4 linked regions of the Ovis aries genome follow. The protein of the gene in region 1 binds, or shares a complex with, the protein of each later gene. Links are inferred from orthologs where the notes say so. Each region holds a gene or a part of one and is shown on either strand. Other genes may lie near its edges.

Region 1 (3,555 bases):
CTAATGGCAGAAGAGTTTGACTTCATTTTCATAATCAGTATATGTTATTTTTAACCCCAAGATATTGTTTATAACAAGATTTTTAAGAAACCCTTTTTTATTCCTAATAGGAAAAAAGAATTTCTATCTTGCCTATCTTGCTGTCTACTTTTTAAATATTGATGTAGCTTTGCTTGTAATTATTATTATTAGCAGTAGTAGCAGTGTTTGTATGTTTATAAAACTCATAATTTAAGACTTCAAAGCCAGGCATATTATAATAATATTGGATTCAAAAACTTTTATTGTATAAGTGATTCCCAGTCCTAACTATATGTTAGACCAAAACGGCATTGATCATCTCAAGATAGCAGAAAATTATGCATTTTAAAGTTATGCAAATTATGTATTTATTTTAGTTTTTAAAATGTATTTTTTTCTGAAATAAAAATCAGATTTTATGATAGTCTTTTTTTGTCAAGATAAATAGTTGAAAAGTACTTGGATTATCTTTTTAAGTATTAAATTCCCTATTAATGTCAAACTATGATAGATCCAGAATTCTCTAGATCTGTGTGAAGTTATTCTAGCAACAGAAACTTGATTCTCTTTTGTTCTTCAGTTGCTTTTGCTTAGCTTTCATAGACATACACTGGCTTATTTTTTCTCTTGGCATCTGGTTTTTTCTTTTTTAATCTTATAGAGTGGCAAATTATTATGGTGCATAGTTTCATAAATTATTGACTATGTTGCATGGGAAAATACTGACAAGTTACAGACTATGTCTGTTCTGATTTTGTGTCGTATACTGGGAAACTAAACATATATATTTAAATTCCAGAATATGAAATATCTATGCTGAACCAGATGTCATGGCTGATGAAGACTGCCTCAATAGAACTAAGGGTAACTTCTTTGAATCGCCAGCGCTCACACACCCAGAGGCTCCTCCACCTCCTGCTGGATGACATGCCAGTGAAACCCTACTCAGGTGAACATCTGCATGTTGGCATTTGTGTTGCCGTGCTGCTGACTGGGCTGTGTGAATGCAAGTGCAAATCTGAATCTTATGGTTAGTCTGTGATTGTAGGCCAAGCATGTTCTTTCTGCCTTTAGGATTTTTTCCCTTCAGAACACGAAATTAAAAGTCACCCATCATTGCCATTTTATTATTGTTAAAAGCATTCACATTTTGCTCTATTCATATACACAAATACACAGTGGAGTTTGTCACACTGAGCCAGCATGACCCAAGATATTCTAATATGTGTTTTACATGCAAATTAAGCACAGACTTTTCTAATCATCTCACAGGTGTGATTGGATCCTGCCTCTTTTAGAGTTCTGATTATGCTTTTTACAATTGTGAAGTGGATCTGATAGAAACAGAAAGAATTAGATGAATGTTGTTGATAAGTTCTCATCATCTGTGCATTTTAATTATCCATTTGCAAGGGGCTCTTTGACCTAGAAACAATGACATAGAAATATAATAACCTGATATTTGTTATTTCTGAATAAATTTTGTGAATGTGTTCTTTTCTGATCTTTTATTCCTGATGCTCCAACAGATGGGGAAGGAGGCATGGAAGATGAAAATAGGTCTGTCTCTGGGTTCCTGCACTTTGACACTTCTACAAAAGGTAAAGCTCTTTGAATCTGTAATAAATTTGTAAGTAAGTGTTAGTCGCTCAGTAGTGCCTGACTCTTTGCGACCCCGTGGACTGCAGCCCACCAGGCTCCTCTGTCCATGAGATTTTCCAGGCAAGGATACTGGAGTGGGTTGCCATTTCCTTCTCCAGGGGATCTTCCCAACCCAGGGATCGAACCCAGGTCTCCCGCACTGCAGGCAAATTCTTTACCGACTGAGCTACAAGGGAAGCTAGATATGTATATATTAAATTGCTTAAAATTTTAGGAGGTAATTAATGCCTGTATCTGCAAATTCTGGACTGATGTTGAAAAGCTATGTGAAAATTATTTGTCAACAAAAAAATCTTTTTATAGCAAGATGATAGCATGGGAAAAACATTTTTGCAAATGAATGTGTTAGAAATAAAATCCAATTTAGATTTCAATACAATTTTCAATTTCCAGACTGAGGCCCTTTCTGAACATAGATATAGTACTGTCTTTGAGAGTGAGCTGAGTACTGTGCTTTGCTTTTCTCTTCAATGTCCCAGCTAAAGTAAAACGACTTTTCATTTTTTCTAGTACGTCGCAAAATTCTCAATATTCTCGACTCCATTGACTTCAGTCAGGAGATTCCTGAGCCTTTGCAGTTGGATTTCTTTGATCGGGCCCAGATTGAACAAGTTATTGCTAACTGTGAACACAAGAATTTACGGGGACAGACAGTCTGCAATGTCAAGGTGAGCATTGCTTTAGAGTGTGTGAAGTATCAAGTGGTTCACAGTCTTTGAGTCATTAGGAAAAAATAACTTTTTTTTTTTCTAATAGAGGTGTTGGTTTATTAGACTGTGGTTTACACTTTTCAAGCAGCAGTGAAAGAAAACTGAATAGCCCGCACTAATTTTATCTGTTAGGTTTCCCATCTCCTTCGTGTTAGTAATCATGCCACCCAGCTGTCACTCAGGGTGGTTTTAATTATTTAACTCTCTACCAGGTAGGTGGTAATGACCTGACTAGTAGGAAGAAGATATCCTGTGCATTTGGACCAAGTTTCCTGCCACAGAGGCTCTTTGGTACTACTCTCTGAAACTTTCCCCTCTAGGGCAGTTTAAAGTAACTGCTAAGTTATTGTTGTACCAGTGTCGGGAATGATCTTATTTTTCTCCCTTCTCTCAATTATGTAGCTGCTTCACAGAGTTCTTGTGGCCGAAGTGAACGCCCTTCAGGGTATGGCAGCCATAGGACAAAGACCTCTCCTGATGGATGTAAGCCCTGCTGACACCTTTTAACTCCTTAAGCTACTTAAATCACCAGTTAGATGATAAAACAGCGAACTGACTTCTAATTCATTATTAGGAAACAACTTAAAAATTAAAAGTCACTCGTCATTGCCATTTTATTATTGTTAAAAGCATTCACATTTTGCTCTATTCATATACACAAATACACAGTGGAGTTTGTCACACTGAGCCAGCATGACCCAAGATATTCTAATATGTGTTTTACATGCAAATTAAGCACAAACTTTTCTAATCATCTCACAGGCATGATTGGATCCTGCCTCTTTTAGAGTTCTGATTATGCTTTTTACAATTGAGAAGTGGATCTGATAGGAATGGAGTCTTTCACTTTTGACTTTGTAATGTTAAAAGCTGAACTGAAGTTAATGTCTGGATGCCTGAATAAAAATCATATCCTTTCTGCTAAGCTAGTTGAGGATTTACAACCTTTTCATATTGTGTAATAGATTTTACTTGTTCCCAGTCAGTGAGGGAAGAGTCATCACAAATGGGGAGATATGGGTCAGAGATTGAGTGGGAAGGACCACATATGTGGAAACACAGCTGGCTAGGCCAAAGCCAGAGGCAAACAAATAGAAGACACATCGAGAAAATGTGATGTCAAACTTGGGTTTTAGGGAGCTCTAGTATAACAGAGTCGGAG
Region 2 (4,185 bases), on another chromosome or scaffold:
TTTGTTACAATGTTGCTTCTGTTGTTTATGTTCTGGGTTTTTGTTGTTGTTTTGGCTCAGAGGCATGTGGGATCTCAGCTCCCGGACCAGGGATGAAAACTACACCCATTTCAGTGGAAGGCAAAGTCTTAACAATTGGACCTCCAGGGTAGTTTCCTGGTACACTTTTTACACAAATGTTCCCTCTTTACGTATGAACTGAACCTTGGAGGTAATTCTTTGCTCCAAACTGCTCTTCCGTTTTACTGTGTGCCTTATGGTCAATCACCGCAAATACATTTTATAATAAAACACTTTACAATTCATTTGCCAGGGGACACATGGCAAGAACCTGAAACAGGCTCCTACTTTGAATAAACCTGATTCCAGTACTGACAAAAAAACATTAAGGCCACATTTCATTTTCCATTAAGAGACAAGTACTCTTTTATACAAGAAAAATTAGAATATGAAAAAAAAAGAGGGTACTAGGGTGAGACTCAAATAGTTATTGATGGAGGAGAAAATTAACATTTCGATGACTACTATGTGCGATGCACCTTTGACATCTCGTCTTAATCCTCCCAAGAACTCTGTGATGAACGCGTTATCTCCATTTTACAGGCAAGGAATCTGCAGCGCCGGGGTTTCTAACCTAGATGGAGCTCAACGCCACGTTTTTTCAAAACCCCACGCTGTCTCAGCAGGAATTAGGTATGAAGAAGTCCTCCTAGAACGACATTTCCCAGGATTAGGGTGGAATATATCAACAAATGCCTAAGGAAAACGTAAACTTATTCCTTTAGGGCTAGAATATACAGCTTTTTGACTACTGCACTTTGAAATAGAGGGCGATACCAACACCTTTTACACTTTTTAAGACAGGTGATCATTTTCTCCTTAATAGGGAAATATACCAAGTAAAGAATAATTAGCCACTATGGAAAACAGTTTCAAAGACTGTAAGGGGTTTACACTTCAGCTCAAACAAGGTGAGTACAGTCAGAGATATAAGAACCTCCAAGATGTAGAGCAGAGCCAGCACGTCTGAATTCAACGACCAGGGTGTTTCCCATAGAGTATGAGGAAATGGCTTCACGTTTTTCTATACCATCAATATACATCAGGACCTCTAGCAGGACACCGGCGCCTGGACCACGCCTCACAAATGTCAGTCAAGCAAAGTGGCGGCCGCGCAGCACGGATAAACGATCAGGCCCCGCCTCCTACCCCACTTCTACCCCGCCCCTGGTCCGGCCCTGCCCAGCCCGGAGCCGTTAATCGCCGACACAACTTTGCGCCTGCGCAGGCCGAAAGTGCGGCTTTGTGCATGCGCCTAGAGGGAAAGTTGGTTCTTTTCCCCTCCCACCCCTCGCGATAACATGAGAACTTGCTTCCAGGTCGAAGGGTTTACTTCCGGTGAGCGGGTAGGCTGAAACGCGGTGGCTAAAGTGGAGTTGAGTTTGCAAAGTTCTTGCTGGAGAAGGCTGTAGCCATGGACAGGTAAGTTCTGGTGGTGAAGGCTGAAGTCGATCACTTTCCTCCCCAGCGTGTTGGAGGAATGAAACAGGTGAAACCCGACTCAGAGGAAGCAGACGAGGGCCTGGGTGCTGATTCTAGGCATCCTTTTCCGGCTGGAAGACTGCAGCTAAGGGAGAAAGGCCGCTTGGGCCGGGGACGGATATGGTCCTTGCCAAGATCCTTGAATAACTCATCTTTATGTAGGGGCCTGATGAGTTATTCAATCCTATGAAGGTAGCTACTGTGATCCTCTTTTCATACATAGAATTGAGGCTAAAAGAGGTTAAGGAACTTGATCAGTTAGGAAGCTAACAAAGGAAGCTAAGAACCAAGTTGCCAACCTGGATATGTGTTTCTAGATTCTAGGGGGCTGTTTGATTCAGCAGATAGTATTCACCAGATAGACCAAAGAGGTGAATGTAGGCCTCTGAAAAGAATGCCTACAAAGGTATAAAGGTGTAAGGATATGAAAGTATAGCTTAATGGTCACATGCAGTGTGTGTTTGTATGAAAGTGATGTTTGTGGCTGAACTGGTAAGCTGGGGTCAGATTATAAAAGCCATGGTAGGAAATTTGGACTTGATTCTGTAGGCCAGAGATATCTATCTGAAGATTTCAAGTGGAGGAAATGCACATTAGATTCTTAAGATACAGGTCTCATAATACACACAATTTATTTTCTAGACTTTGGGCTGAGAATGTCTGTGACTGTAATAGTACTGAGATAGACGACACCCTTAGTGTACTCTGGGAAGAAAAGCTTGAAGGATCATTTCTTTCCAATTTATTAGATTTATTTTTTATTTAGTTTCCCAAGTCACCAGCTTAGAAGTATCCATGGTTTGAAGTACTTTGGAGACTACAGACATCCTTTTAAGAGTTCCTGCAACTTTAGGAACCTCCTCAATCCAAGGAAGTAAGGTTTATCTTCAGGAAGCAATTATTTAAAGCAGTGTTAGAATATAGATTTAGATTCCAAGTGTTAAAATAATTCCAGAGGAGGAAAAAATTAACACGTAAGTCAGAGAAGACTTTATGCGGGTAAAATTTGAGCAGGACTTTGAGAGATAAGCTGGATTTGGTAATGATAGAAGTTTTTTTTGCAAATGCTCCTTTCTCATTTCATTCATGTGAATTTGATTATTGCCATTTTAGGAGTGGCTTTGGAGAGATGTCATCTCCTGTGATCCGGGAGGCAGAGGTGACTCGGACTGCACGCAAACAGAGTGCCCAAAAAAGAGCTTTAAGTATCCTTTGCATTTTAAGCATCATTATAAAAATTGTAACATGTTTGGAATTAGCATTATAGACTTCATAGTGATATTAAACACTAGCTGCAATAAAATACTGTGGAAATTAATTTTTTTAACTCTCCAGATGTGTTATTTGGTAAATATGATGCTGAAATTCAGTGAGATTCATATTTCCTTGAAAATAAGGATGTTCCATTTTACTGCTAACTGTCATATTGTGGTTAGCTTTTGCTGAGGTTAGATTTTCTTTATTATTTGAGTTCTAAGAACTCTTAGTTCAGTGTGTGGTAACCTAAGACTTGAGCACTTAGTTCAAGACTGTAGTAACTGATAACTAGAATTTAAAGGGGAAAAGGAATTATTTACTCTTTGCATAGAAAATATGGTAGCTATAAAATACCTTGTCCTTGAAAAACATATTCTCATATTTTGTATAGTATAAATATGGTTCATGCTGGAAGGGATTGGGGGCAGGAGGAGAAGGGGACGACAGAGGATGAGATGGCTGGATGGTATCACCAACTCTATGGACATGAGTTTGGATAAACTCCGGGAGTTGCTGATGGACAGGGAGGCCTGGCATGCTGTGATTCATGGGGTCGCAAAGAGTCGGACACGACTGAGCGACTGAACTGAACTGAACTGAAATATGGTTCATTCTAACTTTAGTGATGTTTTTTTCTATACAAAAAACTTTCTTTAACATTTCCTGTAGTTCGGGTAGCCCAAGATGAAATTTTTTCTAATACCACTCCAAGAAACCAGGTTATGCCCCGAACTCCCAGCTCATTTCGACAACCTTGTAAGATTTTTTTGCTTTTAAAGCATTTAATAATGATAACAGTAATAGCAGCTAATACTGTAATATTATATTTTATAAGTTATTTTTAATTAAGAACAAATAATAGGGATTGCACTTACTATTTGTTGAACTCTTACCATGTGTAAGGCTTTACATAATTGCATAATAGCTGTGAAAGTAGATATTGTCTCTATTTTGTCAAATCTGAACATGAGAACTAGAGAAGTTGATTAATGCAGATAAAATAGCTAGGTAAGTATGTAAGTAATGGAACCAAAATTCAAATCATAATCTGCTTACTTCAGAGTCCATGTCCTTTATACTATCGTATGCTTTATAAAATTAGAATTTGATAAATTCATGAACTCATGAGTGTCTTTTTTTTTTTTTATGTTCAGTTACGTTATAATGACAGCATTTCTGTTTGCAGTAAAATTTTTTTGGTGGGCTCAGTAGTACCAAAAGTTCGTATTTAGAAAAATAAGTTAAATCTTGATATTATAGAAATGTTAATATTGAAAGTATATTTGGTTAGAATCTAAATAATTGAAAAGTGAAAATTGTTCGTTTTTATTTGCTTGTTTCATTTTCATGATCAATGCTCATGCACTTCGAATTCTTTTTACTAAT
Region 3 (4,021 bases), on another chromosome or scaffold:
ATAGGTATCCCTCTTCTAACAGCCATGAATCTCCTTCTAAGCATCATATATCATCCACATCTGACATACTCTCCTGAGAGTTCAAACAGATGTGAAAGCAAACAGAGCAATGAAAAAGCAGGAGTATTCTCCCGAGACCTAGTAGATGCTGAAAAGATCAAGAAGAGATAGAAAGAATACATGGAAGAACTGTATAAAAAAGATCTTAATGAACCGGATTACTAGTTAGTCCGGTTGTAGTTAGTCACCCAGAGTCAGACATTCTGGAGTGCAAAGTCAAGTGGGCCTTAGGAGAAGCACTGCTGTTAATAAAGCTAGTGGATGTGATGAAATTCCAGCAGAACTACTCAAATCCCTGAAGGAGAATACCATCAAGGATTTGCATTCATTATGTCAGCAAGTCTGGAAGACCCAGCAGTGGCCACATGACTGGAAAAGGTAATCTTCATCTCAATTCCCAAGAAGGGTAGTACCAAAGAATGTGCTAACCATCAGACAATTGCACTCATCTCCCATGCTAGTAAGATCATGCTTAAAATCTTGCATGCTAGGCTGAAGCATTATGCGAACCAAGAACTTCCAGATGTCCAAGCTGGGCTTAGAAAAGAAAGAGGAACTAGAGATCAAATTGCCAACATTTGCTGGATGATACAGAAAGCAAGGGAATTTCAAAAAAACATCTATCTCTGCTTCATCAACTACCCTAAAGCCTTTGACTGTGTGGATCATGACAAACTGTGGAAAGCTCTTAGAGAGATGGGAATACCAGACCATCACACCTGTCTCCTAAGAAATACTCCCTGACAAATATTTCCATTTGTCCACTTAGGCTTGTTCTACACCTCTTAGCTCTTGGTAACCTGTAAGCCCTGCTAAATGGCAAAGAAGCAAAGTTAGAAGCAGGAGAAACATCAACAGACTTAGATGATGACACCACCCTAATGGCAGAAAGTGAAGAGGAACTAAAGAGCCTCTTGATGAGTGTGGAGGAGAGTGAAAGAGTCAGCTTAAGGCTAAATATTAAAAAAAACTAAGATCATGGCATCTGGCTCCATTCAGTTCAGTTGAGTTCAGTTGCTCAGTCATGTCCGACTCTTTGCGACCCCATGAATTGCAGCACACCAGGCCTCCCTGTCCATCACCAACCCCCGGAGTTCACTCAGACTCATGTCCATCAAGTCCGTGATGCCATCCAGCCATCTCATCCTCAGTCGTCCCCTTCTCCTCCTGCCCCCAATCCCTCCCAGCATCAGAGCCTTTTCCAATGAGTCAACTCTTTGCATGAGGTGGCCAAAGTATTGGAGTTTCAGCTTTAGCATCAGTCCTTCCAAAGAACACCCACGACTGATCTCCCTTAGAATGGACTGGTTGGATCTTGCAGTCCATGGGACTCTCAAGAGTCTTCTCCAGCACCACAGTTCAAAAACATCAATTCTTCGGTGCTCAGCTTTCTTCACAGTCCAACTCTCGCATCCATACATGACCACTGGAAAAACCATAGCCTTGACTAGACGGACCTCTGTTGGCAACGTAATGTCTCTGCTTTTGAATATGCTATCTAGGTTGGTCATAACTTTCCTTCCAAGGAGTAAGCCTCTTTTAATTTCATGGCTGCAATCACCACTGCAGCAAATAGAAGGGGGAAAGGTGGAAGTAATGACAGATTTCCTCTTGAGCTCCAAAATCTCTGCAGATAGTGAATGCAGCCATGAAATCAAACACAATTGCTTCTTGACAGGAAAGTGATGACAAACCTAGGCAGTGAGTTGAAAAGCAGAGACATTACCAACAAAGGTTCGTGTTGTCAACGATATGGTCTTCCCAGGGGTCATGTACAGTTGTGAGAGCTGGACCATAAAGAAGGCAGAATGCCAAAGAATTGATGCCTTCGAACTGTGGTGCTGGAGAAGACTCCTGAAAGTCCCTTGGACAGGAAGGAGATCAAACCAGTCAATCTTAAGGGAGGTCAATCCTGAATACTCACTGGAGGGACTGTTGCTGAAGCTGAAGCTCCAGTATTTTGGTCATCTGATGAGAACAGACGACTCATTTGGCAAAGTCCCTGATGTTGAGAAAGATCGAGGGCAGGAGGAGCAGAGGGCGTCAGAGGACGAGATGAAGCGACGGCATCAAGGATGGAATGAACTTGAACTTAAGCAAACTCCGGGAGGTGGTGAGGGACAGGGAGGCCTGGCGTGCTGCAGTCCATGGGGTCGCAAAGAGTCGGACACGACTGGGCCACTGAACAACAGCAGTCTCCCAAGAGAACTATACTTGGTAAACCTACGGCCTGCTCAAGCAGAAGCCAGGCTCAGGGGGCTGCGACGTGAAGCTTTGCTCCGCTGGGAGAAAAAAAGCCGTACAATATCTCCGCCTGGCTCCAACCCGCTCATTAAAGCTTTAGCCCAACAGGAAAAGCCAGAGAAGCAGGGAGGTCGGGGAGGCAAGGGACAGAAAGGAACAGAGTTGGGGGGGCGGTCTCCAGGGCCAGGTATTCCTCAGAATACACATGGGAGCAGAAACCCAGCGACCACCACGACCCACACGCGGGGAGCGAATTAATGCGACTTCCGAACGGGGGGCAACTGTGCTGAGGGAAGGGGCCGGGCACCCTGCCAGCGGCAGGGACGAGGCGGACCCAATCTCCGGGCCCCAGGGCGGGGGAGAGCGTACTGTTCGGGGCCCCCTTACAGTGACCGTCGGCTCGCTGTCGAACTCCTCCATAGCGCCGCACCACAGCCGCCGGGAACTCGCGGGGCCGCCAGGGCTCGCGCCTCAGGGCTCCGGCTCAGGGCCGGCTGCGAGAGAGGACCCCGCGCGTGAGCGCCTCCCGCACTGCCTGCAGGCCCAGAGGCCCGCCGCGGCGGGGCCTTCTCCTCAGAGCCTCGGCCACCCGCTCTGCGGCGCTGCCCACGCGCCCCTCCTTCTGGCCTCGACCACACGAACGGGGAAGGCAGCACTAGGGGCGGCCTGCCCTCACGGGACCCCTTTCGCCAGAGCCGGCGCCGCCGCGGACACCCCTGAGCCGGGCGGAAAGAAGGCCCCCCGGAGACGGCGGGAGCGGCGGGGAGGCGGCTGCGCGTGCGCGGTCGAGGGCGAGCTCTCGGTTTGGCCCCGGCGGGAGCGAGTTCACCACCTCTGGCGAGCCTGGGTTTCCTTCCCGCGCCTCGGTCTGCAGGCTCCAGTCGTCGGCGCCGCTGCTTTTTCCGTGGCAGGAGCCCCGTTGGTCCATCGGGCTTGTGTACGAAGGTATTCGTCACCAGCCCCTACCCCAAAAGGCTCCAGAGGCGTGAGGGGGACGAGATTGATGCAGCTGAAACAGCTAGGAAACGGAGACCCCTGGGCTCAGTTGAACACAAATACTGGTTTGTTATGGGCTTCCCAGGTGGCTCAGTGGTCAAGAATACCGAGACGCGGGTTCGATCCCGGGGTGGGAAAGATCCCCTACAGAAGAAAATGGCAACCCTCTCATACTCTTGCCTGGGAAAATCCCATGGACAGAGGAGCCTGGCGGACTACAGTTCATGGAGTCGCAAGAGTCGAACGCGGCTTAGCGACTGAACAACTGATTTGTTATCTCACCAAAGAAAAGCAGGAGAAAAAATCAAATCAGGGAATTTGAATCCCAGATCTTGTTATGGAAAACCTCAAAAGTGCTTCGGTGACCTAAAGGAGTTATTTATTTTGTGAGTGCCATGTTTACAAATGTATACACATACAAAGACGGAGAAGGCAATGGCACCCCACTCCAGTATTCTTGCCTGGAAAATCCCATGGACGGAGAAGCCTGGAAGGCTGCAGTCCATGGGGTCGCTGAGGGTTGGACACGACTGAGCGACTTCACTTTCACTTTTCACTTTCATGCATTGGAGAAGGAAATGGCAACCCACTCCAGTGTTCTTGCCTGGAGAATCCCAGGGACGGGGGAGCCTGGTGGGCTGCCCTCTCTGGGGTCGCACAGAATCGGACACGACTGAAGCGACTTAGCAGCAGCGGCAGCAGCAGCAGACATACAAAGAAG
Region 4 (3,827 bases), on another chromosome or scaffold:
ATGTCATGAAGCTCCATGCTATTCATGATGACTCAGCAGCTGCTGCTAAACAGAGGTGACAGCCTAGGATAGCTGACAGCAAGCAGGTGGTCTACAAGTTCACAGAAGTTTTAGTAAGGACTAAAGAACATCCTTATTTTAAGATTTTAAAAAATCCTCAAATATTCTTTTGTATATGCCTGGATACTTTTCTTTGGTAGTATTGCCAATACTAATTGTTGTTCAGTGGCAAGTCGTGTCCAACTCTGCAACCCCATGGACTGCAGCACGCCAGGCTCCCCTGTTCTTCACTACCTCCCGGAGTTTGCTCAAACTCAAGTCCATTGAGTTGGTGAGTCATGCTATCCAACCGTATTAGCCAATACTAATAATACCTGCAGAGTTGATTAAGAAACTTCCAAACACCTTTAATCTCAATTCAAAAGCTACAAATGTACTTTTTCAATTAAATGGCTGTGGCAAAAAGCTGAATACTTTAAACAGGGGGAAATGATAAACTACCAAACTTTAAAATAAAACTGCACAGTCTGAAATCATATCAGCTCTAAGACAATTTGGATCACAAGTGTTATGCTGTTAAGGCATCATCTCCCTCAAATTAGGTTTTTATCCAAGTATATTTAAAAATAAGGTGTGACTTTGGCTTTCGCCACCTGGAATATACGAGCTCCTTTCTAAACTCTGTCCAGACCATCCTATGATCTGTATTTACATTTCATTTTTTATGTAGTAACTTTCTCCTAAGGAAAGCACTATTTTTTCAGAAAAAACAGAAAGCACATGTGTCAAACTTCCTCGCAACAAAAGGGTTAGGTCAAAGGGCCAGGCTTGTGACCTGAATTCTAATCTTGCTCCTCACAAAGAAAATTTGAAAACCAAGCCTATCTGGGGGAACACTGGTGGGAGTTGATAGTAGCCAAGACTTGTAACCATTAGTAGAGAGCTACCTAATACTATAAACTACGAAATTTCACTATTAAGAAACTTCTCCCAAATCTTTACTTTTAAAATTCTGTTTTTAATGATACAATTTAACAACAGCACCAAACATGTTTAACTGTTAAATATTTATCATCATCTGGAATAAAGCAATCTAGAAGTCTACCTTTTATAGTATGCAACAAGTTATCAGACCCTTTTGCTATACTTTTTATAGGTTTAAGGCCCACACTTACTTCCTACCTTACTATCAGTGAAAAGTTTTATAAGTGACTTTTATTAGAAGGTTTTCAACATTTTCCCACTCAATCCCCCGTTAACAAGCAAAACTTAAAATACTTAACTTTCTCAGAATCAAATATCTGAGGATAAACTCCTATTTTTATAATTTCAAACACCCACGAGTGCACAAGGTGGTTAAATTTCAAGACCACCAACATTCCTGTAGTGTCGAAAGTACCTAAACTTCTAGAATACCCATTGCAATATTAAAATATTTTGTGCATGAGATCAGAACTGGAGTCCCAGTCAACTGTGCATAATGGCCAATTCTAGTCTCCAAAATAAAACGCGCGGGTGTGTGTGGGGAGGGGGGGGAAAGGTTGGACAAAAGTGGGGAGGGAAGAGTCTCGCGACGGAAAAACAGACGTAAGTGCGGAGAGGGACTTTCAAAATGCCCCAGTGCCACTAACCATATCCCGGTTGAAGAAAAAATTAAATAAGCCAGGGCTCTTAGATCGGGGAGGGCCACGGGGAGATGGAGAATTTAAAGGATGGAGAATAAGTTATTTCACTTTCCCTGTAACAGCGCCCCCGTCAAGCCCCAGGTAGGTACCCTGGCGGGGTGAGGATCGGAGGAGTCCTTGGGGCAGCCCCCCTCCCCGCACGCGCTGAAACGCGGGAGACTAGAAATCTGCAGGCGTGGGGGTGGGGGGCCCTCCCAACCACAGCATTTTCCCTTTTCCCTTGAGGGACATGAGTAATTAACCACCCCCCCTCCTCCAAGCTCCTAATCCCCGCCAAAAAAAGGGGGGGGGGGGGGCAGAATTCTAGGCCCACCGTGGGCCTCGTACTTGTGTTCCCGCCCTGCGCCCAGGCCCGGGGAAAGCCCCGGGGCGGAGAGGGCCAGGGTGCGGGGCGGGGGGTTGGTGGAGAGAGGAGGCCGAGCCACACGTGTGCGCCGCAGGGCTGGCCGGCCTCAAGCCCACTTCCCGTCGCCGCCCCGGCGGCCTCGGCTCCCGCCGCCTCGCCCGGGGCCTCCCCGACGCTCCACGTGGGGCGCCAGGGCCGCCCCCCCCGCCCCCCCGCCGCCCCGAGGGCCCGCGAAGGGACCCCCTCACACAGAGCGCCGGGGCTCCCTTACCTGGTGCTGCGGTCGCCCCTGCTGGTAAGGCTTCATCGGGCCCTGGTGGCAACGCCGCGTCCGGATCTTGCCGCCGCCACCGCCCCCTCCTCTGCCTCCGGCTCCCGAGGCCATGGCGGAGCCTCCGCGGCTTCCCCCTCCGGGGCGGGAGAGGCAGAGGCGGCCTCAGAGGACCCCCGCCCCCCGCCTCGCCTCACCCGGCCCCAGCCCCCAAGAGTCCGCCCGCGCTGCCCTCACAGCGGGGGCCCAGGCCCACCGGGAACCGCGGAGCGGCGAGCAGAAGCGGAGAAGAGAATGCGCGCTGGCGGCAGCGAGGTGGGGGGAGCGGGGCGGGGAGGCCACAGAGGCCGAGGAGCTGGCTCTCCGGTCCCGCAGGCTCCCGCGGACCCCCGCCTCTGTGTGTGTCACCGTCTCTATGGAGATTTCCCCCGCAGAGGACAACGCGAGCGGCCCCCGGCGCTGCTCGGGCCTAACTCGGCCGCCGGCTGATGGAGATTCTTCTTCCGCACGCCCCAGCCGTGTAGCTGCCGCAGTTGAAGCCGCCGGCGCCGCCCGCCTACCCCTCCCCTTTGCGCACAGCGCCCGCCCCGCCGCCGCCGTCGTCGTCGTCGCCGCCGTCGTCCCTGCAGTCGCCGCTGTTGCGTCTATTGCCGCTGCTAAGGCCGCCGCTGCGGTCTCGAGCCAGAACACCGTCACTCGTCAGCGCCCGGCGAGCCTGCGTCATCACGCTGCGACCGGCTGATAGGTGAGGAAGGAAGGAAGGGCTGGTCGAGCCCGCGCTCTCGGCCGCGCGGGCCGCTGGGAAATGTAGTTAACGGGAGGAAGGCTAATTCTCGGAAAGGACGCGGAAGGAGAGAGGCACGGTTTGCCGCAGAGGCACAAAGCCAGGGGGGTTCCGTTCCTTTTCCTGTGCTCGGCTATAAACGTAGACTTTGAAAGACGCATTTAACACAGAAGCAGTAACCTCCTTCTTACTCTCCTTCCTCGTGGTTGGTAAAGAGGACGGATAGTAAGGTAAAGAGGTAAAGTGAGCAGATAGTTAAATTAGACAGGAGCGAACATTATCTTATAAAAAGAAAAAAACCGGTTGAAAAAAGCAATGTTCATGATCTTTAAGCCTAAAGCAGAATTAGAAAAACATACAGTGTCATTAATGTTCCGTTGTTACATAAGAGCTGTTGTCAAAGAAGGCGAATTCTGGTTCCACCACTCTAGTTTGACCTTGGATAAGTCAAAACCTTCCTTCTCCCTATAAAATGGGAACTTTAATATCCACCTTATAGAGCTGTTGTGATCATACGAGTGGAGCACTTAGTATATTTCCTAGTATATGGGAAATGCAGTAAATGAGTACAGTGACTACCTACAGCAGTCAGCTCACATGAGAGGTAAAGGATATATTAGCAGTAATAAAACTGTACATATATTTGCCCCAAATAGAAGACGTATTTAGGAAAGTGAGTAAGCGAGCTAGGCTCAAACACTGAATCCACAAAGTATAGATATTTTAAGAGTTGACCGTTAA

The links.
Region 2: the proteins of NUP205 (region 1) and NUP107 are in contact, whole or in part, in a cryo-EM structure (PDB 7WB4), measured with the Xenopus laevis proteins. The link is inferred for Ovis aries from reciprocal best matches to the Homo sapiens genes NUP205 and NUP107. Residues at the interface, in XP_041443600.1 of Xenopus laevis: Gly1247, Gln1248, Arg1249, Pro1250, Ser1458, Arg1506, Gln1507, Leu1983, His1991, Gln1995; in NP_001091312.1 of Xenopus laevis: Gln134, Glu136, Pro189, Tyr282, Tyr283, Gln770, Ser772, Phe773, Thr774.
Region 3: the proteins of NUP205 (region 1) and NUP85 are in contact, whole or in part, in a cryo-EM structure (PDB 7TDZ), measured with the Xenopus laevis proteins. The link is inferred for Ovis aries from reciprocal best matches to the Homo sapiens genes NUP205 and NUP85. Residues at the interface, in XP_041443600.1 of Xenopus laevis: Glu1477, Cys1480, Arg1481, Cys1484, Asp1485, Ser1517, Gly1518, Tyr1519, Leu1520, Lys1521, Val1522, Val1524, Asp1525, Ser1574, Gly1575, Gln1582, Gln1638, Gly1641, Gln1642, Gln1645, Val1648, Leu1690, Asp1691, Ile1692, Gly1693, Leu1694, Asn1695, Asp1696, Gly1697, Ser1698; in XP_041431608.1 of Xenopus laevis: Ala86, Glu87, Glu88, Ala89, Ser90, Gly91, Lys92, Ser93, Arg94, Lys95, Pro156, Pro239, Met240, Gly245, Thr246, Gln247, Thr248, Leu249, Thr250, Glu251, Phe252, Glu253, Leu254, Lys255, Trp256, Gln257, His258, Trp259, Pro315.
Region 4: NUP205 (region 1) and NUP153 share a complex: the UniProt entries of both Homo sapiens proteins name them as parts of the nuclear pore complex. The link is inferred for Ovis aries from reciprocal best matches to the Homo sapiens genes NUP205 and NUP153.

Annotation. Positions count from the first base shown.
Region 1 is NC_056057.1:100,880,370-100,883,924, forward strand, and holds part of NUP205 (nuclear pore complex protein Nup205), read left to right. Parts: intron 1-820; coding exon 821-970; intron 971-1,550; coding exon 1,551-1,622; intron 1,623-2,193; coding exon 2,194-2,351; intron 2,352-2,795; coding exon 2,796-2,876; intron 2,877-3,555. UniProt on the Homo sapiens protein: Plays a role in the nuclear pore complex (NPC) assembly and/or maintenance. May anchor NUP62 and other nucleoporins, but not NUP153 and TPR, to the NPC.
Region 2 is NC_056056.1:151,301,037-151,305,221, reverse strand, and holds the start of NUP107 (nuclear pore complex protein Nup107), read left to right. Parts: upstream 1-1,385; 5' UTR 1,386-1,474; coding exon 1,475-1,482; intron 1,483-2,655; coding exon 2,656-2,747; intron 2,748-3,468; coding exon 3,469-3,555; coding exon of another isoform or gene 3,556-3,556; intron 3,557-4,171; coding exon of another isoform or gene 4,172-4,185. UniProt on the Homo sapiens protein: Plays a role in the nuclear pore complex (NPC) assembly and/or maintenance. Required for the assembly of peripheral proteins into the NPC. May anchor NUP62 to the NPC. Involved in nephrogenesis.
Region 3 is NC_056064.1:55,609,176-55,613,196, forward strand, and holds the start of NUP85 (nuclear pore complex protein Nup85), read right to left. Parts: upstream 2,801-4,021; 5' UTR 2,725-2,800; coding exon of another isoform or gene 2,692-2,724; 5' UTR 2,051-2,691; coding exon 1,985-2,050; intron 1-1,984. UniProt on the Homo sapiens protein: Essential component of the nuclear pore complex (NPC) that seems to be required for NPC assembly and maintenance. As part of the NPC Nup107-160 subcomplex plays a role in RNA export and in tethering NUP96/Nup98 and NUP153 to the nucleus.
Region 4 is NC_056073.1:39,014,305-39,018,131, reverse strand, and holds the start of NUP153 (nuclear pore complex protein Nup153), read right to left. Parts: upstream 2,417-3,827; coding exon 2,303-2,416; exon of another isoform or gene 2,140-2,302; intron 1-2,139. Other genes in the region: uncharacterized protein LOC121817444, read left to right, coding at 2,415-3,044. UniProt on the Homo sapiens protein: Component of the nuclear pore complex (NPC), a complex required for the trafficking across the nuclear envelope. Functions as a scaffolding element in the nuclear phase of the NPC essential for normal nucleocytoplasmic transport of proteins and mRNAs.